3 linked regions of the Oryzias latipes genome follow. The protein of the gene in region 2 purifies or fractionates together with the protein of the main gene of each other region. This does not show direct contact. Links are inferred from orthologs where the notes say so. Each region holds a gene or a part of one and is shown on either strand. Other genes may lie near its edges.

Region 1 (9,855 bases), on a different chromosome or scaffold from region 2:
TAGAAGCTTTTATTATTACTCTTGCCTGGTGTAATAATAAAATGTAACTAAATACAATTATTTTTGCATCACGTGTATCTAATATCGATTTAGCATTCAAAGTTGGTAGCCTCGGGAAGAAAGGTTAGTCAAGATAGCTAATCTGGGAGTAAAAGAAGATTAGGAAAGTGTAGGTAATCCACATGTGTTATCTTAACCTAGGTGGTTCAATTTTTAGAGATAGAAACAAACAAACAATACAAATCACACATTTTTATTAATTTGTTTTACCTTAAACTAGCTAACCTCCTCGACTGTTAGCTAACGTTAGCTACCAACTAAACGCTCGTGCCTAAAATCTACGGTCCGATCCAAAGAGGATCGGCTCCCAGCCACAGAACCAAAGCTCCACAATTTTTGGAAACTTTGCGCTTATTTCTATACGTACCTTTGTCTCGTGGTGTTCGGTGATTTGTAGCGTCTCAAACAGAAGAATCAACTCCGAAGGCACACTGCTGACAACATGATCTCATCTCGTGGCCGCTGCTGTGCTACTGCCCTCGATTTTTTGTGTTTACTTCTATCGCCTCGTTTCTCCGTAGAGAGTGAAATTCATCACAATGAATCACAGACCGCCAGTTTGACATACGAAACCGACTTCGAATCGGTTTCCACGCGCAACTTTTTGTGGAAAACGGCCACGAGCCACGAGCACGTACACTGGTTTCTGATCAGTGATTCGGAATCAGTGTGCTTCGAAGGGGCGGGGCTGGAGCTGTGACGTAGCACGTTCAGCCGACGTGCTTCGGGGAAACATGTCGGCGTCCCACACAACGACAAAGGTAGCAACTGCAAAACGGGTTTACGAGCCCTTTTTACGCCTTTCTATTCTATTTTTACATACAAATGCGCATTAGTTTATTGGACATAATGAAACACAAGAATCCCGCATACCGTTAGCGTATTTGTGTATGTATAGATAAGAATTATTGTCTTGTAAGCAGTGTTAGGATGCTAGCAGTGCTAGCATGTAACAGTTATAAATGAGTATTTAGTCAACATTAATTCCTACACTTGACTCCCATTTATGACTATTTGCTACACATTCAACCCTTTAAATATATTTTTTTAATGTTTTAAATTATTCCACTATTTATCACGGAGTTCGTTCTTGTTGTTCTGTACGCTAAGTTCATCGTTTAAAATAGAAAACAAAGTGCACGAAAATTAATTTGTATTTAAGAAATATATATTTTTAAATGATTTTTGTGTTTATATTTGTGTGAAAGAGAAAGCTGGATATCTCTTGTTATGGGCTGGTTGACATGGCAACCGGGAATATAGGAGTTAGCATCGCCGGGAGGTGAAATTTGAAAAGAAAGTCTTAAGTTTTTAGATCAATCTTTTGTGTCATCATTTTTTAAATATAATTGTTAGATGGTATTTAAGTAACTAAAGCAGATTGCCATCCTACATACTTAGTTTTATCCTCAGCAAAGATTTAGGAGTAAAGCATTGATTTATGTGGAGAAAATATTATTATTACTAGTGTTTTTTTCTGGCAACATCAATTGAAAAAAACATTTTTTTTTCAACAAATAGTTTCCTATCAGTGTAAAAAATATGTGTTTTTTTTACTAGCTGTTTTCTCAGAGTCCATCACCTCGTGATAAACTGCAGTAAATGCATGACTTCTTGGGTTATTTTTTCTTTTAATCAGACACGTTTTGTGTTTTTTCACATACCTGACATGTTTTGGCGGCATCTGAGTCGTGATCAGGTGGTGGGGATGTGACAGGTGGAGCAGAGGAAATACTGTTATTTATAATAATGGTATTTCCTCTGCTCCACCTGTCACAACACCACCACCTGATAACGAGTCTGATGAAGGCAGAAGTGATTCCGCCGAAACGTGTCAGGTACATTCAGGAACATAAATATTTGGACATAGACAAATTCTTTCTAATTTAGTTTTTGTACATTACCACAGTGAATTTTAAATAAAACCACTTAGATGCCATTGAAGTGCAGACGTTCAGCTTTTATTCCATGGGTTGAACAAAAAGATTGCATAAAAATGTGAAAAACTAAAGCATTTTTTGAACACAATCCCTTCATTTCATGGGCTAATAAGTTATTGGACAACTGACTTCCATGCTATTGCATGGGCAGGTGTGGGCAATTCCCTTGTTATGTCATTATGAGTGAAGCAGATAAAAGGCCTGGAGTTGATTAGAGGACTCGTGCTTGCATTTTGAAGAGTTTGCTGTGAACAGACAACATGCGGTCAAAGGAGCTCTCCATGCAGGTGAAAGGAGCCATCATTAAGCTGGGAAAACAGAAAAAAACAATGCGAGAAATTGCTACAGTATTAGGAGTGGAAAAATCAACAGTGTGGTACATCCTGAGAAAAAAAGAAAGCACTGGTGAACTCAGTAACGCAAAAAGACCTGGACGGCCACGGAAGACAACAGTGGTGGATGATTGCAGAATCATTTCCATGGTGAAGAAGAACCCGTTCACAACAGCCAACCAAGTGAACAACACTCTCCAGGAGGTAGGCGTATCAATATCCAAGTCTACCATAAAAAGAAGAGTGCATGAAAGTAGATACAGAGGGTACACTGCAAGATGCAAGCCACTCATAATCCTCAAGAATAGGAAGGCTAGATTGGACTTTGCTAAAAAGCATCTAAAAAAGCCAGCACAGTTCTGGAAAAACATTCTTTGGATGAAACCAAAATCAACCTCTAACAGAATGATGGCAAGAGAAAAGTATGGCGAAGGCGTGGAGAAGCTCATGATCCAAAGCTCACTACATCATCAGTAAAACACGATGGAGGCAGTGTGATGGTCTGTGCATGCTTGACTGCTAGTGGCACTGGGACACTAGTGTTTATTGATGACGTGACACAGGACAGTAGCAGCCTAATGAATTCTGAGGTGTTCAGAGACAGACTGTCTGCGCAGATCCAGGTGAATGCAGCCAAACTGATTGGGTGGCGTTTCATAATCCAGATGGACAACGACCCAAAACATACAGCCAAAGCAACTCAGGAGTTTATTAAAGCAAAGAAGTGGAATATTCTTGAATGGCCAAGTCAGTCGCCTGATCTTAACCCAATTGAGCAGCATTTCACTTGTTGAAGACTAAACTTCAGACAGAAAGGCCCACAAACAAACAGCAACTGAAAGCCGCTGCAGTAAAGGCCTGGCAGAACATTCAGAAGGAGAAAATCCAGCATCTCGTGATGTCCATGAGTTCAAGACTTCAGGCTGTCATTGCCAACAAAGGATTTTAAGCCAAATATTAGTAATGACCATTTCATTTGTCCAATTACTTACGAGCCCATGAAAAGAAGGGATCGTGTTTAAAAAATGCTTTAGTTTTTCACATTTTTATGGAGTCTTTTTGTTCAACCCATGGAATAAAAGCTGAAAGTCTGCACTTCAATGGCATCTGAGTTGTTTGATTTAAAATTCACTGTGGTAATTTACAGAAACTAAATTAGAAAAAAATGTGTCTGTGTCCAAATATTTAGGGTCCTGACAAAACACAAACCATGTCTGATAAAAAAAAAATAACCCAAGGAGTCAGTTAATCTTATAGACACAATGAACTTTATTGAATATCCATGGTTTCGGTTTCTGAAAATCTCTTTACTGGTCTTTTCTTTGATAGGATGACTCAAAAAATGTTGATACAGAAACATCCAACAAGCCAATAGCAAAACCAAGTCAAGTAAGCCAAGGTAGGTTTGGAACTTTGATGATTTCACTTTATAAAATTCATGTTTAAGATTTTCTGTGTGTGACTGTTCTTCTTTTATGGCTCATGCTTGTGTGCATACCAGACGATGAAGACCTCCCCACGCCTGATGATGCTGAGAAAGCGATGCCCACTGAGGCGGTGCAGTCACCGCTGTCATGCCAGCAAACACAGAGTGAGGGTGGCAGTGTTGCAGAGGATGAAGATACTCTGATCCATGCACCATCAAATAAACCTGCAGCAGGTGAGAATACGCTTCCTCCTGATTTCACCTGGTCCTTGTAAATCGGTAATTTCTTTTATCTGGAAAATAGATCTAAAGGAATTTATGTAACTTGGTCAAAAACTTGCATTTCCTGTCCAAGTGTATATGTGAATCTGAAAAACTGGTCATAGATGATGCTGAATTCTGCTTAATTACTAAAGCAAATTGTTCACTTCTAAAAGAAAATTAATGAAATGAAATTAGCTTAATCTGTATTATTTTTTCTATTCAAAATGAAAAATAATCAAAATGTCCAGAAAAAAAAGGTTGACAAAAAAATCTATAAAAGGCCCCCAAAAACCTGTAATGATAAAGTTATCAGGCTGTGAACTTGATTTTGAACCCAAATTTTATATTTTAGCCTCTTTATGGGATTAATATTCAATCATTGAATACATTGAAATAAAATTCATGTGGCTTTTTTATGTATTATCCCCTTCATGCCTGAATTTATTTCCAGCTATTAAAAAGTTTAATATTTTTTTCTGCTTTCAAGCTGATGCTAAATTAAAGAAATTTTGGAGCAGAAGTGGTTCAATGTGTTTTTGCATCAACAGGCATTTAGGAGTTATATACACTAGATGGATACTGTGACAGATACAGTAACATTTATACAAAGTGCTCTTTTGTTAGTGCATCGTTCATTACTCTAAAACAAGAATATACAATTGTTGGATTTTGTCATCGATAAAAGCTTTTCTCATTTGTCTCACAGGACACGAAGCCAAGTCTCCTACCTCTGCCTCTTCATCACTGGCGTCCTCCGCACCTTTAACGTTGTCCCCTGGCCGAGCAAAGATGAGCGTTTGTGTCCCCACCGGGAGTAAATCCTCTCCTCCACTTGCTCCATCCTCTCCTCCCTTCGCCGCCTCGACGTCTGTCTCCCCGTCTGTTTCTCCCAGCCCACCTAAGATCCACCGGGCCCGCAAGACCATGAACAGACCCCCGTTTGGGCTGGTAAAAGAAGACTGAAGAGTTGGTTTAAATAGCTGCTTTTTAGTAAACATTTTTGTGACTTTTTTTTTGTTTGTTTGTTTCATGTTTTTCTTTTTTAGAACACTGGGTCTGGTGAAGTTGCTTCAGCATCCCAGACCCCGTCAGGATCGCCCTGCCTCACCTCTGAGCCCGAAAGCTGTCAGTAACATTTAAAAGCTTTGGTTTACCTTGAGTTAAAATAAACCCACCTGTTTCATTACATTCATGTTTCTTTATGTTTATAGTGGCCTTAAAAAAGAGGAAGCTGGGTCATGTATCAGGCAGCAGCTGTGAAAACATTCCAGATTATTCTCCAACTGTAAGTTAGTGGTTTTCCCCCTTCCTTAAGTAAAAGTCTCCGTTTTTATTGGTGGGTTGACGTGTATTGTCGATTTGAAATGCAGGAGGAGACGTTGTTTCATAAAAAGGTGGAAACTGCTTTGGCGAAAAGCAAAAGCTGCGTGAGGAAGACCAGGGATGAAGGAGAACAGAGCCAGAGCTCCACTTCATCAGCACAAGATTCTGGAAACGTGTGAAGCTTTGATGCATTCTCCTAAAACCTCGTCCTTTTAATTAAACATCTGGTTTCTCTGTTTTTATAAAAATTAACTTTTGTCCTTTTCGTTTTGATCAGTTTCAAAACGGCGTCGATGCGAGTGAGCGCGCTAATGACACGGAGGATCACGTGAGTAAATTTAAACTCAAAAAATGCAAACAGTTGTGTTTTTAATGCAACATTTACAAATTGCAACAGCTGAAAGGAATAGAGCACTGAAAACAACATAAAACAATTATTCTCTCAAATTAATAATTTGTGACAACTAGTATTTTGGGTGCACCAATTTGTATTTGTGTGCACAAAATAGTACTTTGTGGCCATTAAATATTTTATTTTGTTAGCACTTTGTGTCACATTATAGTATTTTCTTTCTTACAAACTAGTATTTTGTGTTTTCAAACAAGTATTTTGTAGTCACATATGAGTATTTTGTGCTTACAAGTTAGTATTTTGTGCTCACAAATCAGTATTCAGTAGTCACATATTAGTATTTAGTGGGCAATAATTAGTATTTTGAGCTCACACATTAGTGTTTTGTTGGAACTAATTAATGTTTTGTTGGCACTAATTAATACTTAATGGTCAAAAATTTGTATTTTTTTGGGCACAACTTAGTTTTTTTTCATCACAAATGAGTATTTTGTGCTCACAAATTAGTACTACATGGTCACAACTTATCATTGTATTAACATGTGGTCACATATTAGTAGTTCGCACTCACAACATGCTAATAAAATACTCATTTGTGGCTACTAACGATTGACTTGGGGGAATAATTTATCTTTTTTTTATGTCCAAGGCTCCATAGTAAGGGGATCTAATTGATGGTTCACGGTCATCATATCTGTTTTATTTATTGTTGTTTGATGACAATGGTAAATTCAGAATCATAAACCCTAACAGTCTGCCATAAACACAAAAAAAGTGTAGAAAACGTGAAAATCCAGAAACCAGAAAGACTTCTGATGAAAAATTTCGGAGTTATTGATTGTAATTTTTTTATTTAAGTTTCAAAAAATCTTTTACATTTCAGATTTCCAGTTTGTCTTTACATCAAGATATTTGATGACTCTAGAGGAGCGTTAGGATTGGTTGAGTAGTCAAATTAGTTTTTGACCCTTTCTTAATTTTTTTCAGGTTTCCCACCAATGATGGAACAAATTTACACCATCAAATCTTTATTTTGAAAGATATTTCAGTGTCAAACTGCAAACTTTTAAACTTTAGTTCCACAACCCATTGAAGTAAAAACCAGGAGCTGTTAGACTTAGTCCAGGGGAGCAGAATGATAATGATAATGCATGCCAGTGTGCGTTTATCTACTTAAATAACTTGTGATTTTCAGCGTTTGGAGTCGGAAACACCAAAAACCGTCTTGAATGAGGGCGAAGAGTCTTCGTGGTTACTGTCAGGTCGAGACAAAAAGAGAAGCTCGGTTGACTTGGTGGAGATGGAGGACGGTGAGTGGTCTTTTCTGCGCAGCGCGGTTTCATAATCAGTCCTGTTGTTTGTGCTTATGGACCATAAAGAACGTTATTAAAGTGAAACTTAAGTTCCACCAAGGCTATAAAGTCCCACTGCAATCATCTTTTGATTAATTGTCAAAGTGTTCCCAGTGGTCTTTTAATTATAATTTGGCTGCTTTTTGGAGATAATTCATCAAAAATTTACCTCTGAGTTGTGGGCGGGACTGTCAGCACGGAGCAACGCCGCCCCCCTTCCCTTCTCCTCCCCGTTGCTGAGAGCTGGGAGCCCGCCCAGTACATTTTCTACTTCAAACTATGATCCTGATTCAAATCAGAGACTTTTTTTTCCGTCTGCTCCTGTTTCACAACGATTCAAATGAAGAAATACTTAATTTTCATTAAATGTGTCCCCATTATGAGAAAAAAATGCCACAAGAACATGTTAAAAACACTGTTTTTAAACAAATCTTAAAAAAATATCTTCAAGATGCACAACTGTTTTGCATTAAAAGGAGAGGATAAATGATTTTACTGTAGGAATTATTGTTGTGTTGATCCTCTCATATCTCCTGACTGCTCTGCTCTTCTGTTGGTCTTCAGAAGAACAAGCAGACGAATACACCGAGGTTCCTTTGGGTGACCTGGACATCGCAGCTGCCGACAGTCTAACTCTTTCCCCTCCTCCTGGTGGGTTTAGTCTACAACTACATTTTTGTTGACCTCTGACCTCGAGTAGAGGCTGCCGTCTTAAATGAAAACAATGATACATCACCTTTGGTACCAGCTACAAATTTAGGGATTTCAATCCTAACTCCTCGACCACCATTGGGTAGCTTCGCGTTTGAACGGCGTTAGCGCGGCGAGCTCGCAAGAGGGAATGTCATCTCTTGTTTGCACAATTTTTACTGGAATATTGTGAACATTTAATTCAAGAACTGTCGGCTCAAGAAGAATGAAACGCTATAGCATGCAAAATAAACACACTAGGAATGTGGGCGTGGTTAACAAAAAACCTCAGTTGCCAAGGAAATTCAAGTTTACTTTTGCAGATTTGTCTAAAAATGACACAGAGCTGTTCGTCACCCCAGAAGATCAAACATATAATGGTTGCTATGGAGATAAAACCCACATAAAAGCTTTTTAAACAAGTGTTTTTTCAGGGTGGGGTGGGAAGGGGGTGTAGCTCATGGAGGTAATAAAACCGCATGAGCGGTTGAAGTTTAAAATCACTTTAAACTTCAACATTTAAAGTGAGCTTCAGAAATAAGCAAACATTTTCTCCAAAATGAGTCTTGAAGCATTTTGTGTTTGTGCTTTTTACGACAATCGAAAGGACACATGTTCAGATCTTGGTGGGTTTCTCCTCCATCTTCCCTGCAGAAGGAAGCGACGCCGGCGACACGGAGAGGCTGGAGGAGCTCCCCCTGTGCAGCTGCAGGATGGAGGCTCCTCGAATCGACAGCAGCTGCCAGCGCATCAGCAGACAGTGCATGGCCACGGAAAGCCTCAACGGAGAGGTCGGGGAACCAACCCTCGTCTCTTAAATAACAAATCCAACAAAAAATAAAACTGATGGAGAAATGAAACGCAAAAGTTCATCAGACAGCTCAAACTTGGAAGTTTTTTCCTTAAAATAAAGGATTTTTATGTTTGACATAAATGTCCCACCTTTCCGTGGCGTTTCAGCTGCGGGCGTGCACCAGCTGGACCGTGAAAGGTGAGACCATGCGACCATCCAGCCGGGTCTCCCTCATGGTGCTCTGCGACGTCCATCGCTCACACATGGTCAAGCACCACTGTTGCCCAGGGTGTGGCTACTTCTGCATAGCAGTAAGTGTGAGGAGGAACAGATGTTTGAAATATTTGGTCTGTTTGTGGCGAGTTAGAAATCCGTCGGTTTTCCTCTTTGTATGATTGTTTTAAATCTTCATTTTTCATATATTTCTCCTCATCTCTTTAGACTCTGCTTAATCCTGTTTTTAATTTTTCTGTATTTTCAGAGGATGTTTTTCTTTTGTCTGTCCACCTCAAACCTGGTCAGGTTTGGTCCATTCTCTTCATTTATATATTTTTAATTCTTCTTTTGCAGGGGACGTTCCTAGAGTGCTGTCCTGACCAGCGCATCGCCCACCGTTTCCACCGCGGCTGCGTGACCGTGCTGAGCAGCGGGCGCAGCAGAGCCAACGGCGGCGGGATGATTTTCTGCCCCCACTGTGGGGAAGATGCCTCAGAAGCTCAGGAGATCACCCTCCCCTCCTCCAGCGCCGCCGCAACCTCAGCCGCCACAGTCGTCACCATGTCCGCCTCCTCCACCACCACGCCATCGCTGCCCCCGACTGCCCCTTCGGGACCCTCCCTCAACGCCTCCACAGGAGGCACGAAGGACGAGAAGATGCCGGAAAGACCCGTTAGGTGAGCTCAGATGACCTTATGGCTGCCTTTGCTTGTGAAAGTGTGGTTTCTATTGATGCTTTGTGTTTTTCTTCATCAGCGCTCGGATGCAAAGCCACGGCTTCTTCACGCTGACCGTGGAGCAGCCGCCGCAGTCGGCGCCCGTTGCAGCGACCGTAACCGCCGCCACCACCCCTCCAGGAGAGGAGGGAGTGGACAGCGTGGGGCCGTCGCTCTGCATGCCGAATGGGAAGCCGGTCTGCCCGAGCGCACTTCCACCAGGACCCAGCAGGGCGGCGCTGCAGAAAGCGATCCTAACACAGGACTCAGAGAGGTCTGGTTTACAGTTTCATACAGCTGCACTGAGGATTTAATAAACCTGTAAAATGCACATATTTGAACTACATTTAAAATGCAACTGTTTCAAAAAAAATGTTTAAATCAGTTTAAA
Region 2 (10,567 bases):
ACGTCGCAGAGCGGCAGGAGGGCGGCTCCGAGCCCCACAGCTGGTCCGTTCACTGCAGCCACAATAGGCTTCCTGAACTGGATGAAAGTATTGACGAAGGTCCTGAGGAAGAGAAGACAGAGGGTAATAGCAGCAGACGAACGACAGCATCAAAGCCGCACCACAAAAGGTACCTGATGGTTTCAGCCATCTTGATGCTCTCTTTCTTCCTGTCGTCCGTCAGGCGTCTAATGAAATACAGGAAGTCCAGGCCGCAGCAGAAGACGCTCCCCACGGCGCCGAGCAGCACCAGCTTACTGTCATCTGATGCTGCCGTTGCCATGGCGCTCTGGATCTCCTTCATTACCTGAAGACAAGAGAACAGAGGCCAGTGATGTCACTGACAGGAGCAGGCTGTCTGAGGAAGCATCGGGACAAACCTGATGCATTCTGGGATAAAATAGCATAATAAGGCTGCATGACCTTCTTGCTGTTCACCTGGTGGAGAACACATCAGCACCACAGGGGAGAGTAGTTCAGTGAACTGCTCTAGAGTCTCTGCAGCCCCTTGCTGATGTCAATGACATCACAGTGCCGTGTTGAAGCAGGAGCCTTTAGGCGTGGCCTTACCTCAGGATTGAGCGTGTTGTTCTCAGAGCTCTTGGTGGACAGCAGGATGTGAGTGAAGCCGTCCTGCTTCTTCACCACGATGTCACGGTATCGATAGGCGCTCTCCGTTTGGCGAACGCTAAACCTCAGGCGCTTGTCGAAGGCAGAGCGTTCCTCCAGACGCCGTTTGCCCATTGCACCTGTTGCCCCAGTGACCACGTCTGACATTAAGGTGGCAGCGGCGGCCTCCATTAGCGGCGAGTTTCCTGCTGGAGAAAGAAAACTCCCATCAGAAAAGCCCAGAGCTTCATCTATCGCAGTGTTTTTCCACCTTTTTTGAGCCACGGCACACTTTAACCCTGATAAAAATCCCGCGGCACACCAGCATAAAAAAAAAAAAAGGAGAAACTCATAGTCTGTATTGATCTACAGTCCCTCTGCAATCTCACATGCATTTTTGTGATGATTGTGGCAGAAAAAGCTGGAAGCTGCAGTTGGTTTTTTTTCTAAAAAATGTAATAAAAGTTAAATTAGAAGATTTAAAAACTGTCTGATGTGTATTCGTTGTGGTTTCAAGACGTCAAAAGAAGACTCATTGTGCGCTGAGACGCTTTCACTTTAACCCAATGCCTCATGGGAGATGTAGTGCGAACAACCACCAAACGCCAGACAGACTAGCGTCTCTGAGCTTCATTGTTTTGTTCACTTGTTCCATGGTCTGATACCGTATCCCGCGGAAAGTTACACCGCTAAATATGAGCTTTAGCTGGTCTTTTTGTTAGAACTAAGCAACTTAATGAGCTGAATCGGAACAAGGAAGTGAATACTTTAACCACTTCTGATTGGTCAGACTGATGACGTATGATTAAGCCTCCAAGAATGATTGGCGGAGACAGTTAAAGGGGCGGGACTTTTCTGGAAACAGCTGAAGCTACGGCTAAATCGCGGCACCGTCATTCTTATCAAAATGTCTTTAATGTAATCAAATGAACCCAAAGAAAAAGTATTTTATGATCTTTTATATTCCTAACTTCTCAGTGTTTTATCAGGGCCTGTTTGGATGAATAAAGAGCTGATATCCTGGAGATGGGAAATGTTTTAGCAATTTCCCACGGCACACCTGACCATCTCCCACGGCACACTGGTTGAAAAACACTGATCTATCGTATTTGTTTTGGAGGTTCCAGGGAGTAGAGGTGAAACAGGTGGAGGACTTAGGGTCAACTGTCCAGGATGAAAAAGAGGGTAGAAAAGAGAGAACGGGATTTCAGGTGTGATGTGTGGCAAAAAGAGTATCAACAAGACTTTGTTTTTTGTTTGCTAATAACTGCTCTTCCAAACACCATACTGACGTAGAGAACCCCAAGGCTTTATTTTAGGGCCTTCTCTTTGTTGCTTTAACAATCTGCCACTCTCATCAAGAGAATAAGCATAAAATTCTACAGCTATGCTGATGACACTAAGCTTCATGTGGATCTATGACCATCTCTCCAGGTGACATGGCACCTGTTTCCTGGATATTTCAACTTAGATAGCGGAGAACTTCCTTCGTCTGAACCCAAGAAGCTTATGTGGTATGCCTTGGGTCCACTTTTATGGCCTCAAATGGGCATTAAATGAAATCAATCTGATGGTTGGAACAATGTGTTTGAAAAAGAGCTCATTTGTGACGTAGAAAATACGCTGAGCCAGAGCCACAAGCTTCCTGCTCCACTCTTTTCCACAACAGATAGGGATGGTGGAGGGTTAATGGTCCCACCTAAAAACTCAGAGGTAATTTTCTAATGATCTACTGACCACTCTGCAGAAACCATGTCCAAGAAAATGACTGTTTTTTTTTTTTGGCTTAAACTCCACTATCATTGTTAGAAGACCACTGGGAACGCTTTCAAAATAGATCAGTGTGTTTTCCAAAGAACAAACCAAGTAAAATACACAAAACGTTGATATTTTTGGTGTAAACCTGGGAAAAAGAAAATCCACGGCTCCCAACCTCAGAATGTCTTTCTGAGGACTCGAGAGCTTAAATAAGTTTTAGTCGAGTTAAAACCTTTGGGACGTGAATCTCACCACCTCAACTGCCTCATGTGAATTTGCCGGGCTTTCGCCAGAACCAAGACCTAGCATGCATTCAACTACTTGATGGACCCAACACTAATAATATTGATAGGAATAAAAGAAAACTGGGCTTTCGTTGATTCTTGCAAACAAGTTTTTTTTGTTTTTTGTTAACTTACCTGTGAGATGATCTGACTTTTATGTCTTTAATAAAGAAAAAGTTAGACTGTAAATATCCACCAAAGCTTGTTTAAAAATGTTGCCAAAATCAGATGTGGGGTTTCATGGATGAAAGGTAAAGTTCCACTCCTATCCATTCTAGCTAGTTAACAAATTCTTAAAAAAACTATTAGTTAATGAGTTGTAAATGACCTGTTAAAGTCCCACTCCAATTATCTTTTGTAAAATTGTTCCTAGTGGTCTTTTTATGAGGATTATGCCGTTTTACCCAAAGCCAATAAACCCATGTCTTTTTTTTAGGGCAGAGCGGCAGGAGTTGATTAGAAAGTCACCTGGGAGTTGGGGGCAAGACTGTTCGCACAGAGTAAGTCTTTCCTCACTTCCCATCATCCCTTTGTTTACACGCTCTCCCAAAAGCTTACAGACCGCTGCAACCAAAATGGCGAGCAATATTGAGGATAATCAGCCGTACAGTTTTGAGCCAGATGCCAGCTCAGACGAGGAAAACAAAGACAAAGATGGATCTATTTGTCTACACGTGGAAGCATCAGAACGGAGAACAGCAGGAAGCTTGTGGCTCGCTGATTGTAACACTTGTATCACTGGCACAGGCATTTTCAAACAGCTTGTTTGTCTCCTGATTAACAACAGTGTGATTGAGGAAATATTAAGAAATATCATTTTAAGTTTCATTTCCTAAAGCCTGTTCTCCATCATCATAAAAATACCACAACAACATGTTTAAAACACCACTTTCATCTCAGTAGTCTCTCTGGAATGGGTTTCTAAATAAAATTCTCATATGGTCAAGTTCCGGCTCGAAAAACCGTGGGTGTGAGCTCCACGTGACTGCCACATGACTCACCTGAGCTGCTGAGGGAGCGAACAGCCGCAGGTGTGATGGGGGCCCGGGGCGGGGAGAGGGGATTCTGGGTCCGGGGCCTGGTTCCAATGCGAGCCCTTTCCTCCCCAGGGCCAAGCTGCACTACAGGTTTCTCCAGCAGGGCGACCTCTGGCGGAACCAGGTGAGCCTCCTGAGTGCCCGCCTCCAAGCTGTGCGCCGCCTCGCTGGGGGACTCCTCTGAGTCGGGGCGGCAGTTCATCGGACTCTTTGGAACCAGGATCTTGATGCCCGTCTTGGAAAGGTCCACCCCTCGGCGTGCAAAGCCCCCCAGAGGGGCAGAGATGGCGCAGGGGGTAAACCTGTCAGGTGAGGTTAAGGGGGCGGAGCAGGACAGGTGAGTGGGACTGAGGGGCGTCCTCACCTGGACACAGGCCCTGCTGACCTCGCTGCTAAGGTCAGCAGATGCAGGGGAACTGGGTGGCGGGCCACACTGTGGTCGATGGGCGAGGCTGCGGGTGGAGCGCATCAACGCCCCCTCCCTCTGTCGCTCAGCATACTGGCGATTGAACTCTTGAACGTAACTCACACAGGTGGACAGGTGACTCTCAGGCTCCCAGGTGTCACTCTCTGCACCATAGCCCCTCCACCTGACCAAGTACTCAACCTTCCCCTTCCTGCTCCTTCTCCTGTCCAGGATCCTCTCCACCTGTGGGACACACGTCAACGTCATGGAGGAGTTGTTCGGTGACGTCAGCTAGTAACGATCAGAGGGGTTGTTTTTTTTTACTCCTAGCATACTGACGTCACAGCATAAACTTTAAAAACCTGCCAACCATCCTAAACTTCACGGTTAGCATTAGCATTAGCTTTTGTCACCTCGTACAGCTCCTGCGTGGCCATGTAGAGCGTGCTCGTGCACGTAAAGCTTCCAGAAGCTTCTTTACGTCAGCAGCAACATGAAGAAAGTCTGAAAGTCTGTGCGCGTGCAGCCGCGTACGTCCGTTTACCGGCTGCTCCGCTTCGGTCTCCCGTGACGTTGCCGTTAGCTGTTAGCTTGTGTGAAATTACGCCTTTTCCGCTCTCCAAAATAAAAGTCTCGTGTCAGATAAAAGGAACAAATTCCCGTTGATTCCAACGGAGAAAATAAGGCAAAATTACATATTTTCAAATAAACTTCTTGCTGTTTAGTGCTTTATTTTTATTTATGACATTTGCGGGAAGGTTTTTGGCAGTTTTGGAGTCATTTGGAGTTATTTTTGAATTATGTGTTGTTGTTTTTGGTAGTTGATGGACTTAAGAAAATTCAAATTTTACTCTCTTAAGTTGTCAATTCTTTAATTTTAAACAGCTCTAAAAAGAATTGCTTGAGTCTAGTTTAGAGTTAACTATAATTAAATGTAGTTATCTTTAATAATCAGCTGAAATTACATGACTTACAGTAGTATCCTTTCCCTTATCAAAAAGTAGTCCACTCAAAGTTGATTGGATTAAGTATACGTAAGTATACTGTGTCAAGTATACTATAGACCTAGTATGCATAGTGTATGAAGTGTACTGACTAAATACTTCTTCAGACTAAATTGGAACATTTTACGTGTACAATATGAAAAGTATACTTAAAGAATACTGCCTCACCTTTAGTATTTGTGTAGCACACCTTAAAGACTACTTTTTGCTAAAAGTGTGTTCAGTTTTTAAAAATATTTCACCCATAAAAAATTGTATCTGACCGATTTCATTGTTCATGTTCATGATGAGGTGTCTTTACCAGTAAACACTGTGACAAAACATATACAGACTAAACCAGGTCTGCAACCTGAGACCCCAGAGTTGAAGGTTGGCTCTTTACCCTCCATTGTGGCTCTCTAGCTGAAGAAAAAAATAATTATAGAAATGAGAAGCATATGGCTAATTAGCATTAATTCAATTTAAGTTTGTTGAGGTTATGTTATTGTGCTGAGGCGTACCTAGAATAGTAAGATAAACTGTGTGAATGTTTAGCACTGTTGACATTGCACTAGAGGACTGGTTTGCTCTATCATTCCTCCAGAATACCAGAATGTACCTACAAAGTAACACTTTCATTACAAATAAAAAGTATGATCTTTCATTACCATATTTATTTCATGAATTTAAAGCATCTTTTAACTTGTGCTGCACAATGATGTTTAGTAGCTGTCCAGAGGGGAGTTGCTAAAAATATTTAAATGTTCCTTTTCTATGTATACAATTTTCTATTGGATCATAATATAAACCAATGAAATCAAATTCAGGTTAACACCAATAGGATAGTAAGTAAAGAAAAGGATAACAGCCTACCAAAGTACACTTAACCCTTGTGCTATCCTAGGCACTTTAATGTTGGGAGTTGGGTCATCTAGACCCACTACACAGTGCGCTGAACCTTTTTTCTTCAATGATTTGTGATCTTCACTGGTGTCCATGGATTACATGAAATCTTTCCACCTTTATCCACCTTTGTCATGGCAGGGAGAACACGGCAATTGTCATCTTGACCCCATAAGCTAGCACAAGGGTTATAAATAAACAGTTTTACATTTTTAAGAATTCTTGATACTTAATTTTGATCCTTACCAAACAGAAAAGCAGTTTCAAATTTTTATCAAGGATGAAGTAAGACTTTATAGCTGCTACTCGGTTGTGTTCAGTGAGGAACAAACCCAAATGGCTCCTTCAGAGTTGAAGGTTGCAGATTCCTGGACTAGCCAATCAACTGTGACGTCACCTACTGGATTTTGCACAGCAGAGTTTACTCCACCCATCTCAAGCTGCTTTTGGAAGGAACAAGCCAAAGTTTGAGGTTTTTCTGGGTCCACTCACCTGGCAATCAAAAATCCAGTCTCTAAACATATGAACATTTGATCTTTTAACCCTTATGCTACCTTAGATGACCTCACCCCTACATTGACGTGTTCTTCCTACCATGACAAAGGTGGATAAAGGTGGAAAGATTTCATGTAATCCATGGACACCAGTGAAGATCACAAATCATTGAAGAAAAAAGGTTCAGCGCACTGTCTAGTGGGTCTAAATGACCCAACTCCCAATGTTAAAGTGCCTAGGATAGCACAAGGGTTAGGGAGAGTTTGGTGGGGGCTTGGATGTACCACTAGTCCTGGAAATCAAGGGATTGTTTAAGGAAACTTAAATTTTAACTCTAAAAGCAATCAAATTTTTAAAGCATCCTTCTTTCATATTCAATTACATTTTAATTGGTATTTTCAGAATGCTGTTTTAGTAGGGGGAGTAAACTCAGGTGAATGGGATTATCACACTAAAGGTTTCATTGTTTAATGGGTGACATCCAAAGGAAGTTTGTGGGTTTTGCACATAAACCTCAAAAAGTGACAGAAACCATTTTATTTTCATCACACCGTTTTTTAACTTTTGGATTTCTGTGATTTGAAGAAGATCAGGCTAGGTTTGAAATAAATCATTGTTGTCTTGACTTACAAACCCACAGCAAAGTTTGACATGAACTCAACTGAACATACATGATGGATCAGAATCCTTTATTTCTCATGCAAGGATCAGTAGACAGATTTGAGTTCTGCTGGATCAAGTTCAACTCAAATGTGGCATTTTTGGCAGCAGATTGAAACCTGTGTGGAGGTTCTGTTACTTCAGCAGTAGTCAGGACTAGTTTGGTTCTGACTTGTAGAGGTGGATCTGCATTGTTTTTCCCTTCTGACCTTTACTGTCAGTCTGACTTCTTGTTTTTTATTTTTTTGCGTTGTGGCACTGAAGAGGCTAACAGTGCGGCGGTGTCCTCATCATCATCTGGGATGGTTTGATTCCTACAGCAGAGGAAACAGAAGAAAGCACCAATGGCAAGTGGGAAGCCAGCCAGAAAGCAGCCAATCAGTGGAGCATCTCTGAACACCGGCTGGATGAACAGAGGACAGGAGGTTAGCCAAACACAGACAAACAACCAGCAATGATATGATGATGTCACTTACGATCACTGTGGCTTTTGTTTCATAAATGACGCGCTGGACACGCTGACTGAAGCCGTTTCCTCCCTTCATCTGAGGCACATCCAATTAACTGATCAGATACCAGACCAAGTTTTCCGCCCCCGGCCAAAACTGCATCAACTCACCTCAATGGTACCATCTAGAACCCCGTCCAGGAAATCCAGCAGCTGGCGCTCTGTCTCCACAGGACCAGCTGGCTGGTAGTAGCCGTCATTGGACAGATTAACCGCGATCAAAGAGGGCACAGTGACCTCTCTGATGACAACAAAACAGGACGTGTAGCAACTGACAGAAGTACAACCAAAGATGGTGATTAACACAAGACAAAAACTCACCCCATCACAAATCCATTGATGTAGTCCCCAGCTGCCATAAAGCCAAAGAGGAAGAACCTGGAGGTGGAAGAGCAGGTGGATGGATGGAACCAGAGAACAACAAGGACATCTCCAAGGATTTTAGACTATTTCTGGGGCTTTTCAGTGATTTTAGATCAGACCCAAAAATCTTGGATGATACATTTTGGAGGCTTTCAGACAATTTTATGTTTGCTTTGTAATTCTGTTGTGGTTTTTCAAAGTAAAAGCCTGACCTGCTGTAGGTCTCCTTGTGTTCTTCAGCCACTCTCTCTACTAGATGTTTGTACCTGAACAGATGACAGGAAACACAAGAGTGTGAGGGTTAGCAGAAACACAGATCTTTTAAACAACGAATAGACTACAGATGGATGACTGTTACCTCAGGCTTTTGCTACATAGGTGTCTCTCCTCCACCAGAGCCAGTAGCACTAATTTGCCTGTGAGAACATGGTGACGTTAGTTCAGCTGAGCCAATTTGCAACCAAAGAACTTCAACTCTGATGTCAAAAGTGTCCTCTTTAGGGTCGTATGATAAATTCCAGGAGAATGGTATGAAGATAGTGAGCATTTATCAAACTATCCATCCATTTTCTTTTGCTCAACCGAGTTAAGGGCTTCTCAGAACTAAAGAGAGGTGAATCTTACTACTGTATCCTAGGTCTGTCACAAGCCTCATTTGAAATTAAACTCCCTGAATGCAAAAAAGTTATCAAGCACAACTTTTATTATCTGTTGTAGTATAAATATCTTTTAATGAAAGCTGCTTCACAAAATAAAATACATTCAAAGTTCATACTCAAACATGTCAGACATTATTTTAAATGCACAGTAAGCAGAAAAACAATAAACAAGTGAATAAGAAAACACAAAAATACATCCAAGACTAGTTTGAGATATTGAAAGCAGTTATTATTGAAAAAGATTTCTTCTATGATGTTTTATCCATAAAGGTTCTGCCTTGTCTGCCTGTTGGCAGCAAGTTAAAGCAGTGAGGAGGGCAACAGAAGTTGATGAGTGCAGCTTTCCTCACCACTAAGGACTTGTTCATTTCAAGAAAACGTTGAGTTGATTGTTAAAACTTCTTACTGTCCTCAGCAAATTGAGACATGTCTTTTTTTTAAACAAAGCAAGTGTTGTTCTAAGATAAGGCAAGTGTCGACCATTGTAATAAAGTATTTGAAGCTCTGTGCCTGCTCCACCTGCTCTCTGTTCGTGCTGAGTGTACGTCATAAGTCTGCTCAGCTTCCTTGATTCTTTTTTCATGTAAAGTTGAGTTCACAGGGGGCTTGCTGCAAAGGATTTTACACAGTGTGGTTTCCTGATGGTTCTGTTTTTAGGGCCTCTCTGCCTATTAGATGTGCAATAAGAACCATGTCATCTTCCTACTTTACAAGTGTCATTTATTTGTGCATGTGATGTCACTTGTGTACACAAAAACAGAATGTGAAACAAAACACTGCCCTAGGGGAGCTCTGTCTATAAAGTCATCGTAGTGGAGCTCAAACTTAAACACCCACGTCATCGTATATCAGCTTTAAAAAACCCACTGTGATGAAAACTTCGTTTTTTTGGTGTTTTTAACATGTCTGTGGCATTTTTCTCATGATGGAGGACATATATAAAGAAAATTAAGTGTTGTATTTCTAAGTATTTCTTTATTTAAATCATGAATCAGAAGCAGATGAAAAAAAATGCTGTTAGAAAAAGCCTGCAGCAGTGATGTGGTGGGAACTACAATCGGCAAGCCGACACAAGCTTCCTGCTCCCAACTATTCTGATGCATCCACTTGCAGACAAATAGATCCATATACGTCTTTGTTTTTGTCATCTGAGCTGAAATCTGGCTCAGAACTGTACGGCTGGCTAGCTGCAGCCTTGCTCACCATTTTTGTTGCACTGATAATGTTAGATTGGGGGTATTAGGGGGCTGTAAACTAGCGGGGGAGATGTAAACAGATGGATGACGGGAAGTGGAGACAGCCTTACTATACACCAACAGTCCCAACTACAACTCAGAGGTGAATTTCTGATTAACTCCTACCGCTCTGTAGAACAATGCCCTAATAAACGACTGTTGTTTTTTTATATTTTGGTTAAAAATGGCATAATCCCAATTATTAAATATACTGGGAATGGGATTGTGTTGGGTATTTAAAGGCCTTTATCCATAAAATAGGCATGTTATGGAGAAAAGCTCAACAGAACAAACAAAACGTTTAAAATAATGATTAATTTTGGTTTCTGCGAAGAATTAGACTCTGATGGACTCAAGGTGTTAAGTTTGACAGAACCACAATAGATGATGACATCACTGAGGATACAGGATTGCTGGGTTTACCTGACTCTCCCATAGCATACAAAGTATAGCTGTCAATGTGTTGGAAGTTCAGAAAGCGTTCCCTGTTAATCCACGCCTTCAAATCACCATCACTTTCCTCTGAAACAAACAAAAATCTGTTAAGGAAAGATGCCATTCCTAAAAGTTCATCTAGAAAAAAGCCACTCTGACTTTCTCACCATCATAAGTTAAATATGTTCTGTCT
Region 3 (9,434 bases), about 3.7 Mb from region 2:
TGTTTTTCAGACGTTTATTCCCAAACATCCACTGCAGCTAAGCAGTTTTCAGCATTTATTTTACTCTGTAAACATTATTTTTTATCTTTTAATTAAAGACAATGTTTCATAAATCACTTTGTTGTTACTTCTTAAAAGTCTCTAGCATGGAAGTCAACGTGCATAACTGGATTACATTTAGTTTGCTTGGCTGCCACAATTTGAACTTCAGAAATCCGATGTTTTCATTCAGACGTGTAGCTTCATCCAGTGCTGTTTATTCCATTAAATCAATTTCAAATACATCTTTTTATTTTATTTCCAAAGTAATTTTTTTTCTGAAAATATTTAAACATGAACTAAAATACAGACATGAGACATGTGCACTACTGGAATATCTGTAACACAAAGAAAAAAAGCCTTTTTTTTAAAAGACTGACTTACTTTAATTTCTGTGTAGAAGCATTTTGTAGCATTTTCACCCAATCCAGATCTGATTAGCTGTTTAATCCCTTCTGGATTTTTAAAACAATCTTCAGTGTTTTTTCCATTGAAGGTTAAGCTAAATGAATTACGTTGTGAATTAGCAACATTTGGGATGAAGAGGTTAAAGGCAGCATTTTTGCTAAAAAGCAGATTTAATCAAAGCTCAGCACATAGGCTGTAAGAGGAATGACTAATTTTTATTACATCCAACTTAAATGAGACAAAAGCAAAGTAAAAACGAAAAAAAAGAGCTCAGGAAATAAGGAAGACTAAGAGACGGATGAATACAACTGCAAAAAAAACAGAAAAGTACCAACTGCTGAAGATGTGTACAAAGTTTACAAAAATCCCAAACATTCTGTAGTAAAAACAAAAGTTAAGCAAAGCACTAAGAAAGTTCCAAAAATACAAAGATCTAAACGGCGACTCATAATACAAGACATCACAGATGTCAGCTGCTTTACACAAAAACCTGCGGGGGGCGCAACTGCCCGGCTTACTCATCATCAACAACAAACAGCTGTGACAGAAAAGGGAAGAGTGAGAAGGCATGTCCGCTGGGGTTGCTCTTTATCGGTAAAAACGAGAAACATGCTGTCAAAGTGCAACTACATCTGCCGGTGAAGTCACCAGCTCAGGGTTTTTGCCAATTTAGCATTGTTTTTTTTGTTTTTTGGCATCTCACACGCAAGCTTCATAGCATGTCCAACTTTAATAATTCATGACAATAAAACAATGGCTTGAACAAAGACCCATTATTAGATTTTATTTGGTTAAAAAATATAAATATCTTGTGTAAAAAAATATCACAGGTGATCTATTTTACAAATAGAAAAGCAAAATTCTTGGCAAAATGTTATCAGTCTCTAAAAGAATGGAACAGATGGATAGAAGATGTCTATTAGTCCATGATTTCTCTGTGGTAGTTCAGGAGTGGGGGGCAATTCAATCCAGCCGTGTACTCCACTCTTCTCTTAGAGATCTTCCAACTGCTTGTTCTCATCAGACGCTCCGCTCCGTCTTCCTGTTTCCCCGGTAAAAGACGCCGGAATGAGTTTGTTCCGGTTCTCCTCAGCCAACAGATGAACATGTCATTTCTCGTGTGCTCTGGATGGTTCCACTTCGCTTTGGCTCAGGGGCTCGGCCTCTGTCCGGCACTTCTTGGCCGGCCTTTCGTGTGCGACCTCTGCCGCGTGTTCTGCTACCGAGTCCACGGAACCGTTTCTGTCGTGATTGGGAGCGCTTGGCTTGCTGCAGCCGTTGGAGTCGTTGTCTGGAACTGGGGGAGGAGCTTCCCTCTCTGGTTGAGAGGGACCATTGGACCGGACGCCCTCAGGTTTGACTGGGTTGACCGGAACCAACTGAGAAGAATCTATTGGGTGGTTTGTAACACCTGTCAAGACAAAAAAAAAAAGACAAAAAAAAGCGTTTTTACAGGGAAGAACAAAAACTACAAACAATTCCTCTGACTTTATTTCCACTGGCTTTACTTCAAATAAAAAGATATGGCGCCATTTTTGCAGCGATTTTTATTTTTATTTTTAAGTCTTTATTGATGAACAGAATATTTAACTGTGTATTCTCGGAACTTCTTGCAAACTATGAAGAAAATAATATTTTTTGGGCCATTTGTCCCCTTCATTTAACAGAAAGAGCCTCCCAAAGCCTCCATAAATAGTTATTAAACCCCAGTTGATGTAAAGAGGAGCTCGTCTTTTCTTTAATCGCCTGAGGAGACATGATGTCATCATGGGGAAAAAGCAAAAAAAATATTTATTTAGATTTCTGCGATGCATAAAACAAAACAATGTTTCTAGGACATCAATAAAAACTAGAGGTGAAATTCCTTATAAAAGAAGTTTTAAAGATGACTACACGAGAAAATGCAAGTAGAAAAATGACTGATTTTATAAGCTCAATGCCTATTGGTCATTCAGAATAGCTAAAGACTTTATCAGATAATGTTATTTTCAGTGTCTTGTATGGGGCATGATATTCATTTACTGTGGGGAAGAAAACTCTATAAAAGAATAAATAGATGGAAAAATCGCAGCAGATTGGTTAAGTGAATTCTATTGTTGTAATGATATTGTTTTCACGCATTATTTGGTCACTTTAGAGTACAGAACTGAACCTTATTGTTAAGAAAAAGTGGAAAAAAGTTGTTTTTGCAGCTTTGGATGGAACTAAGCTGTGATACAGAAATGTAATATTATCTCTCTGATGAAAATTGTGGTTTAGGTGTTTTTCAAATGCTTTTATGGCATTTTTCAGTTGATGATGAGGGACAAATAACCGAAACTAAGCCTATAATTGTATTTCTGAGTATATTTTTAATTCAAATCCTTGTGAATCAGGAGTAGACAAAAATAATGCAGTTTGGAAAAAGCCTGTAGGTGTGATGTAGAAGCTACAATGGGCGGGGCCACGTGCTCCCTGCTCCGCTCCATTCTGATGCGTCCACATGTGGACGACTAGATCCATGTACGTCTGCCTCAAAACTCTACGGCTGGATAGCTCTGATATTGCTCGCCACCGGTAATGTTAGGCTGGGGGTGTGAAGAGAGCATGTAAACAGAGCTTTTAGTTATGGGTGACTGGAAGGGGGGGGCGGGGTTGGTCCGCACCAATTTCTGATGAACTCCTACAGAAACTATGTCCTACAATAACTAGGAGAGTTTTGGCTAAAAACTGCACAATCAGAACTAAAAGACCACTGACATTGCTTTTACAATACATCAACAGATGATCGGAGTGGGACTTTAGAACAAATAAACTGACCTAAATTAGACTGGGGCTTTTATTTTTGTAAAACGATTGTTTTATTTAGGAGATTTTTTTGCTTTTCACTCTGAAAATTCCCATCTTTAGAAGAAAGTTGCAGTGTTGGCTCACCGTTCTGACTGCTGCCATCCTCCTTCTCGGAGTGGCTGGTGCTGCTGCTAGAAGTGGTGGGAGGAGGCGACGCCGCCCTGCTGGACGTCGCGCTCTCTGTCTCATCCAGTAATCGATCCATGTAGTCTCTGTAGAAAAGAAGGAGAAAAAAAACCTCGTTCATCCAGGCTTTTTAAAAACTTTTAAACTTGATTTAAAAAAAATAAAAACATAAATCTAAACCGATGATAAACTTGCATTTCTTCATTTTTTTGAATGCTCTCTCAAAAACTTACGTGACACCGGGGTGAAGGTTATATTTCCGCTTTCCCAGTCTGGTTTGCTGTGCAAAGAAATCATAACGCTCAGACTTCTTCCACATGTAATAAAAGGCCACACATTCTCCTACAGACCTAGTTCTCACCTGAAAGATTTAATTCAGCAGACATAAAAGGATCATTAATATCAGCATCATTTGAACAGGAAAACAGTTCTTATTTGCTTATTCTAAAGCCAAACACTTATGTAGCAAACACTGTATGTGGTTGAATTGAGTCGTACCTTGTTGGCCTGTATTAAATGAAAGTCTTTTCCATAAGCTTTAAGTCCTTGTTCAAAGTTTCTACATTCTTCTTCTGTCCACACAGATATCTCCTCTGTTGAAAAGAACGGTTCACGTCAAAACAAAACACAGCCAGCATTTCCTCCATGAACGATGACTTTGAAAAGTTTACTGCAAGAAACTCCAATTTGAAAAAGCAGGAAGTGATGCAGAGTTTCTCATATTGCCGTTCATGAAATCATCTTAAAAGTCCCGCTCCGATGAAAAGGGTGTCTTTTTAAACATGTTCTTGTGGCATTTTTCTCATAATGGAGGCCATATATAAAGAAAATGAAGATTTAATTTGCATTTCTGAGTATTTCTTTATTCCAATTGTTGTGAATCAGGAGCAGATGAAAAATGTTGTGATGGCGACGAAAATGTGCTGGACGGCCACAAGCTCCCTGCCCCGGTCTGCAACGGGGGAGGGGAAGGGGGGCGGGGTTTGCTGAAAGCAGCATTATCATAATTAAAAGACCACTGGGGATGCTGTTAAAATAGATCATTGGAGTGGGACTTTAATTCCACTGATGTATAAAATACACCATTTAGAGATTTTTGTAGATAAATATCTCAGGGATCAACGTTTCCAGCCATCTTCCAGAAGAAAACAGAAGCAGCTTTCAGAAACCTTTTGAACCATAGCCGTTTATCGTATCACTGTTTATCATAAATATAGATGTTTAAGGCTTCAAATGGAGAAGGCTTCCTGACTGTATGTGTGCAGGTCTGAAGCAAATATTAGCAGCTGCAGCTGAATAAGAAAAACACTAAGTATAAATGTGGAAGAATTCAAGAACAGATGTGTTTACCTCTGGCTGCTTTGACGTTAAACCTCAGCCTTCTCAGAGCTTCCTCTGTGTCAAAGCCGCATTTCACCAGTTCATACAAGGCCTACGGCAGAACAACGACAAACCGTAAGAAAAGTCAAGTAAAAAGCATCGTCCAGCTGTTTTATTTACAGGAAGCATCCAACTCACCTGTTCATTGTCTTTGATATGGGATCCCTCAGGGATTGCATCCACCCCCTTTTCCTCCCCCGTCCGCCGTGATGCTTCTGTTAAAAACTCCACCACTTTGCCCTCAGAGAGACGTTCAGGGTTCCACAACAACTGGTCGTCATTTTCATAAACTATCAGATCAGAAAAAGGAAGGAAAAAAAAATTATAAATTTGAGACATTTACTTTTTTAACTGAAGCTGTTTTGGAGACGAATCAGAGAGAAATTCTCATACCTTTCTCATTGTTTTTATATTTACACAACCCAGCAGGCGTCTCTGCCTGGTACATGGAACCCACCATGATTTCCTGAGAAAAGAGAAGAAATAGTAACATAAATAAACATTGAGAGCGGGCCACATTCGTCATTCTGTGGGCTTTTAGTTCAGCCACCATTTGAACATTTCTTAGTTGACGTTTTTACATGCCTTTTTCCAGTCTTCAGATGGAACGTAGTCCTCATCTTCATCAGACTCCTCCTCAGCATCATTACCTGAAGAACAAGTCAGTGTTCAGTTACAGGGCAAAGGAGGTTTCAGCAACAGGAAGCAGAAGAGAAGGATTTCAGAAAACACGTACTTTCAAAGTACTTGAGTTTCTGGGAGCGAATCAGCTCTGCTGTGCCGAGTGACCTGACTGAGCGCGTGCGAACTTCAGAAGTGGTCTGGGCGTCACTCCCCTGTCCCGACGAGGTCTTAAAGTCCTCAACACCCTGAAAACAAAAGGAGAAATTTACAACAAAGTATTGAAATGAAAGGCAAACCTGGACCAACTCAACCCATTAGTGATTTCCTAAGACAAAGGAAACCAGACACAAGCTGCAGGACTGAGGAGCTGCTGGAACAAAGAAACAGTCTGCAGCCATTAATCTATAGATCTATTACGGAAAAGCAATGCGCTGTTTTCCATGACACGGGCACAGAGGCAGGACGCACAGGCCATGATGGTGAACATGTGGTACATGTGAGGGTGGAGGCTCTTTTACAGAGAGGGCTTAGAGAGGAAGAAGAGTGTAAAAGTAATGGAGGAGAAGAGCAACACTAAAGACCTGTCAGAAGTAAAACATGCTTTCTGTGTTTTGGCCGTCTAAAATACGAAGTAAATCATTCATAACTTGTTTTTCTGCACACTGGCACATTTTTGCATTTTACACAAACCTTAAAGGTATCTTAAAATATTCTGTAAGTTTCCTTAGAAGTTTTAACAAGCAAGTGGCGAGCCTTTTGACACCGAGGTTCCATGGGTATGAGCCCCGGGACAGTTTACGGCTTATAACTGTCAAAAACGGGAGGTAGTTGCTCCACTTTCTCTCAGATGTTCTGGTCTGATCAGATAAGGCCTCTCTGAGTGATTTGTATACTTCCTTCAATAGATCACAGTTTCTTATGACAGTGGTCACTTGTTCATCACGAGTGTTACCCTAGAATATAATCATAGGCAGTATAACCCCTCACTACACACTTTATACACTTTACTAAGACAGACATAATTATTCATTTAACATTTTTCTCTTTTAAACTCTCAAAGTTTAAACTTTCAAAGAAAAATAAGTCCAGTATTTTGGAATGAAAGAGATCTGCTCGCGATCAAAATTGTAAATTTGGCAAACTGAACAGATTATAGAGCCACGGCACAGAAGATATTGATTGGCAAAGGCCTACAGCCAATCAGGACGCAGGACACAACCTGCTGTTAAAAAAAATTAAAAAACATACTAAATTGCATTGAAAAAAATCCGCAAACCAGTGAGACCACAGCTAAAAACTACCTCAGTTCTTTTCAGCTCCCCAGTGCTTCTGCTGCTTTCATCGTTATCAAGATCCTCCTCTTCGTCCTCTTCCTCGTCGTCCTCATCCTCAGGTTCTTCCTCCTCCTCTTCCTCCTCCTCCTCTTCCTCCTCTGCTGGTGATCTACCCCCATAGCCATAAAGGCTCAGCAGCTCATGTATGGGCATCTCACCTTCCTATTAAAAATAAAGCTGAGTTTAGTTCACTTCCTATTATTACTGATTCACAGTAAGACATTGAATGGTGATGAAAGTTGCCCTCTGACACAATGTGAATCTATTAAATCCTCAGTTTATAGAAAAAAACAAGTTTGTTGTTTGTCTATCTTTCTTTAGGAGAGATTGAACTTTTTCAATTTTAAAATTAGCCTAAAGGTTGTGACCAGGAGGAAAAACGTTATTGGTGTGATAAAGACGTCCAGTTTCAAGGTTAAATCAATATTCAAATGCTGTCAGAGGCCCTGTGGCGCGATTTGGGCATCGGGCGCGGCACGTCGGTCCGGCAGCAGCGCCATTTGAGTGTTGCGTCCAGAGTTCAAATCTCTGAACTTTGACAAAGTGGGGTCTTCCATGCATCGTAAATGAGATGCACACAGACACCGCTCCCTGTAGCAATCAGGCCAAAAACATTTGGTGGTAGCTCCTCCCACAAGCCACGCTTCCAAACATAGGCGGCCGACGCAAATCGTGTTTGGAGTTAACGCAGCATTACAATGATGGGAAATGAAAATGTGTTCGTTTATGTAAAAATATATCAGATCCATGAATAATATATCATTCCCATTATTAGTTACAAGTTAAAAGTAACTATTTCAATTAAAAATATCACACTAGATTAAAGACAAATTTTAAAAATCAGGTTAAAAACACACAAACAAACAGGGTTTTCATAACTATAATAAATACCACCAGAAATATAACATTACATTTAGCAAAAGGTCTTACAATTTAAAATAAAACAAACCCGTGCAAGGTCTTCAATCTCATTAACATTGGTGTCGTCTGTCGCCTCCAGCCTTTCTTCCTCCTCCAGTGTGCGTTCATCATCAAAGTCATGCACCAGCATCTCAGCGGTGGGGTCAAAATCATGGTCATCAGAACCTGCTGAACCTCCTTGGAAAGTGCAAGTAAAAAAAGGAAACAAAGGAGCATTTTTGAACCAAAAAGTCATTTATCAATATATAATACCAATTTTAGAAATTTGACATAACAAAATATTGTGTAACCCTAAATATTAACAAAACAGCCCAGAATGTATGTATGCCTTAGAGACCATTAAAATAAGAACAAAGATGGGGAAACCAGCTTTTACTTTTTATTTTTTTAAACAAATTCCTCTACAAATTATGTGTAAGCATTTAGTACCATGTGTACCTGGGCTCGAGTTCCCCAGCGAAGGCTAGAGAGAAAAAAAGGAAGAAAAGTTAGTCAAATAAAAAAGTTCAATACAGATGAAACCATTACAGAACACATCCAGGCATCATAACACAAAGATGTACTGAATGAGACAATACAAGACAGAAATACACACAACATGAATAAAAAAATACATGACAACAAAACAAGAGCCAAACATGTAACAAGTGGGAATAAAAAACAAAAAATTAGGAGGATTATTTGCTTTAGGTAAAATTTTCTTCAACATTTATGTTGACGTTTTAGGATTGTGTTTGTACATTACCGAAATAAATCTCTCTCTCTCTCTCTCTCAAAATCTTAAAAACCAAAAAATCTCAAATGTAAGTATTAAAGGTTAAAAAAAAAACAGGCATAAAATGAATAATTCATGGGATGTGAAACTGAAACCGTTCGCTGCTGAACAGCTTTACATAATCAGGTTCGTGTGGCGGGGTTTTGTTTAATATAAGTGGCATAAGAAAATATAAATGTACAATTAAATTCCTACAACACCTCAGAAACAACAAAAAAGAAAAAAACGATAAATTTCACGTCTTTTTCCGACAAAATATGATAAATAAGTAAATATAAATTTATAATAAATTCCAAAATTTAAAAATGCATCATCTTTAACTATAAGGAATATTCTAGAAATAAGCGCTGACAAACTTTATTCATACTAATTGAAATTACAATTTTTGCAAGCTAAATAATCTTTACTCGTTTTTTTGCTAAAGCATTCCTAATTTAAGCTCGCTATTTATAGATTTCAGGTGAAAAAGAAAAGAAAACGCGTAAATTACAGTTATTTAAAAAAACTTTTAGAATTATGTTTATGAAAAAACGAAATCCTTTGTTGATAATTTATTTTTAAACAAAAACCGCGGAACATAGTCGCTAACGCCGCAGCTAACGTTAGCTAAGCTCAAAGTTTACCAAACATGTCTGGATCCAAAAAATGGCGCCCGTCCAGCGAGACAAAACGCTGACGTTCCGTGTCGTGTTCAAAAGCTACAGCAGGGGAGTGTGAGTAAATCTGGCTGAACCAGCCGCCCACAAGAAGAAAATAATTTTAGTGAAAATGTATAAGACTTTCTTACCTCCGCCATGTTTGTAATCCTGCAGGGTCACGTCAGGGGTCAGCTTCAGCACCCGGATGTGAAGCTCCGCCTACCTGCGGTATCAACAGTCATAAAGCAATGCGGCTCAAATGAAGCGGATTACTTCCTATTCCTATTTTTATTCAATTACAAAAGCACATCATATTATTTGGAGTAGTTTCTGGTGATGATCTATTTGATTTGACATTCA

What was found.
Region 1: the proteins of cdyl (region 2) and ehmt2 purify together in Homo sapiens (affinity purification with mass spectrometry; 4 studies listed by BioGRID and IntAct, with this or other methods). This does not show direct contact. The link is inferred for Oryzias latipes from reciprocal best matches to the Homo sapiens genes CDYL and EHMT2.
Region 3: the proteins of cdyl (region 2) and mier1 purify together in Homo sapiens (co-immunoprecipitation; 3 studies listed by BioGRID and IntAct, counting the BioPlex papers as one, with this or other methods). This does not show direct contact. The link is inferred for Oryzias latipes from reciprocal best matches to the Homo sapiens genes CDYL and MIER1.

Annotation. Positions count from the first base shown.
Region 1 is NC_019869.2:5,425,583-5,435,437, reverse strand, and holds the start of ehmt2 (histone-lysine N-methyltransferase EHMT2), read left to right. Parts: upstream 1-748; 5' UTR 749-794; coding exon 795-821; intron 822-3,661; coding exon 3,662-3,731; intron 3,732-3,833; coding exon 3,834-3,992; intron 3,993-4,728; coding exon 4,729-4,970; intron 4,971-5,068; coding exon 5,069-5,147; intron 5,148-5,233; coding exon 5,234-5,307; intron 5,308-5,392; coding exon 5,393-5,518; intron 5,519-5,622; coding exon 5,623-5,673; intron 5,674-6,892; coding exon 6,893-7,007; intron 7,008-7,613; coding exon 7,614-7,700; intron 7,701-8,393; coding exon 8,394-8,530; intron 8,531-8,699; coding exon 8,700-8,843; intron 8,844-9,102; coding exon 9,103-9,425; intron 9,426-9,504; coding exon 9,505-9,738; intron 9,739-9,855. UniProt on the Homo sapiens protein: Histone methyltransferase that specifically mono- and dimethylates 'Lys-9' of histone H3 (H3K9me1 and H3K9me2, respectively) in euchromatin.
Region 2 is NC_019875.2:12,879,471-12,890,037, reverse strand, and holds the start of cdyl (chromodomain Y-like protein), read right to left. Parts: upstream 4,867-10,567; 5' UTR 4,571-4,866; coding exon 4,547-4,570; intron 4,377-4,546; coding exon 3,692-4,376; intron 3,191-3,691; exon of another isoform or gene 3,127-3,190; intron 858-3,126; coding exon 610-857; intron 347-609; coding exon 174-346; intron 103-173; coding exon 1-102. Other genes in the region: protein disulfide-isomerase TMX3-like, read right to left, coding at 7,392-7,577, 7,651-7,719, 7,794-7,923, 8,004-8,060, 8,258-8,311, 8,404-8,461, 10,363-10,461, 10,542-10,567.
Region 3 is NC_019875.2:16,594,306-16,603,739, reverse strand, and holds mier1 (mesoderm induction early response protein 1), read right to left. Parts: upstream 9,263-9,434; 5' UTR 9,233-9,262; coding exon 9,224-9,232; intron 9,188-9,223; exon of another isoform or gene 9,060-9,187; intron 8,125-9,059; coding exon 8,091-8,124; intron 7,839-8,090; coding exon 7,690-7,838; intron 6,903-7,689; coding exon 6,708-6,902; intron 5,652-6,707; coding exon 5,519-5,651; intron 5,433-5,518; coding exon 5,368-5,432; intron 5,249-5,367; coding exon 5,176-5,248; intron 5,073-5,175; coding exon 4,921-5,072; intron 4,835-4,920; coding exon 4,753-4,834; intron 3,996-4,752; coding exon 3,901-3,995; intron 3,764-3,900; coding exon 3,636-3,763; intron 3,489-3,635; coding exon 3,361-3,488; intron 1,859-3,360; coding exon 1,557-1,858; 3' UTR 605-1,556; downstream 1-604. UniProt on the Homo sapiens protein: Transcriptional repressor regulating the expression of a number of genes including SP1 target genes. Probably functions through recruitment of HDAC1 a histone deacetylase involved in chromatin silencing.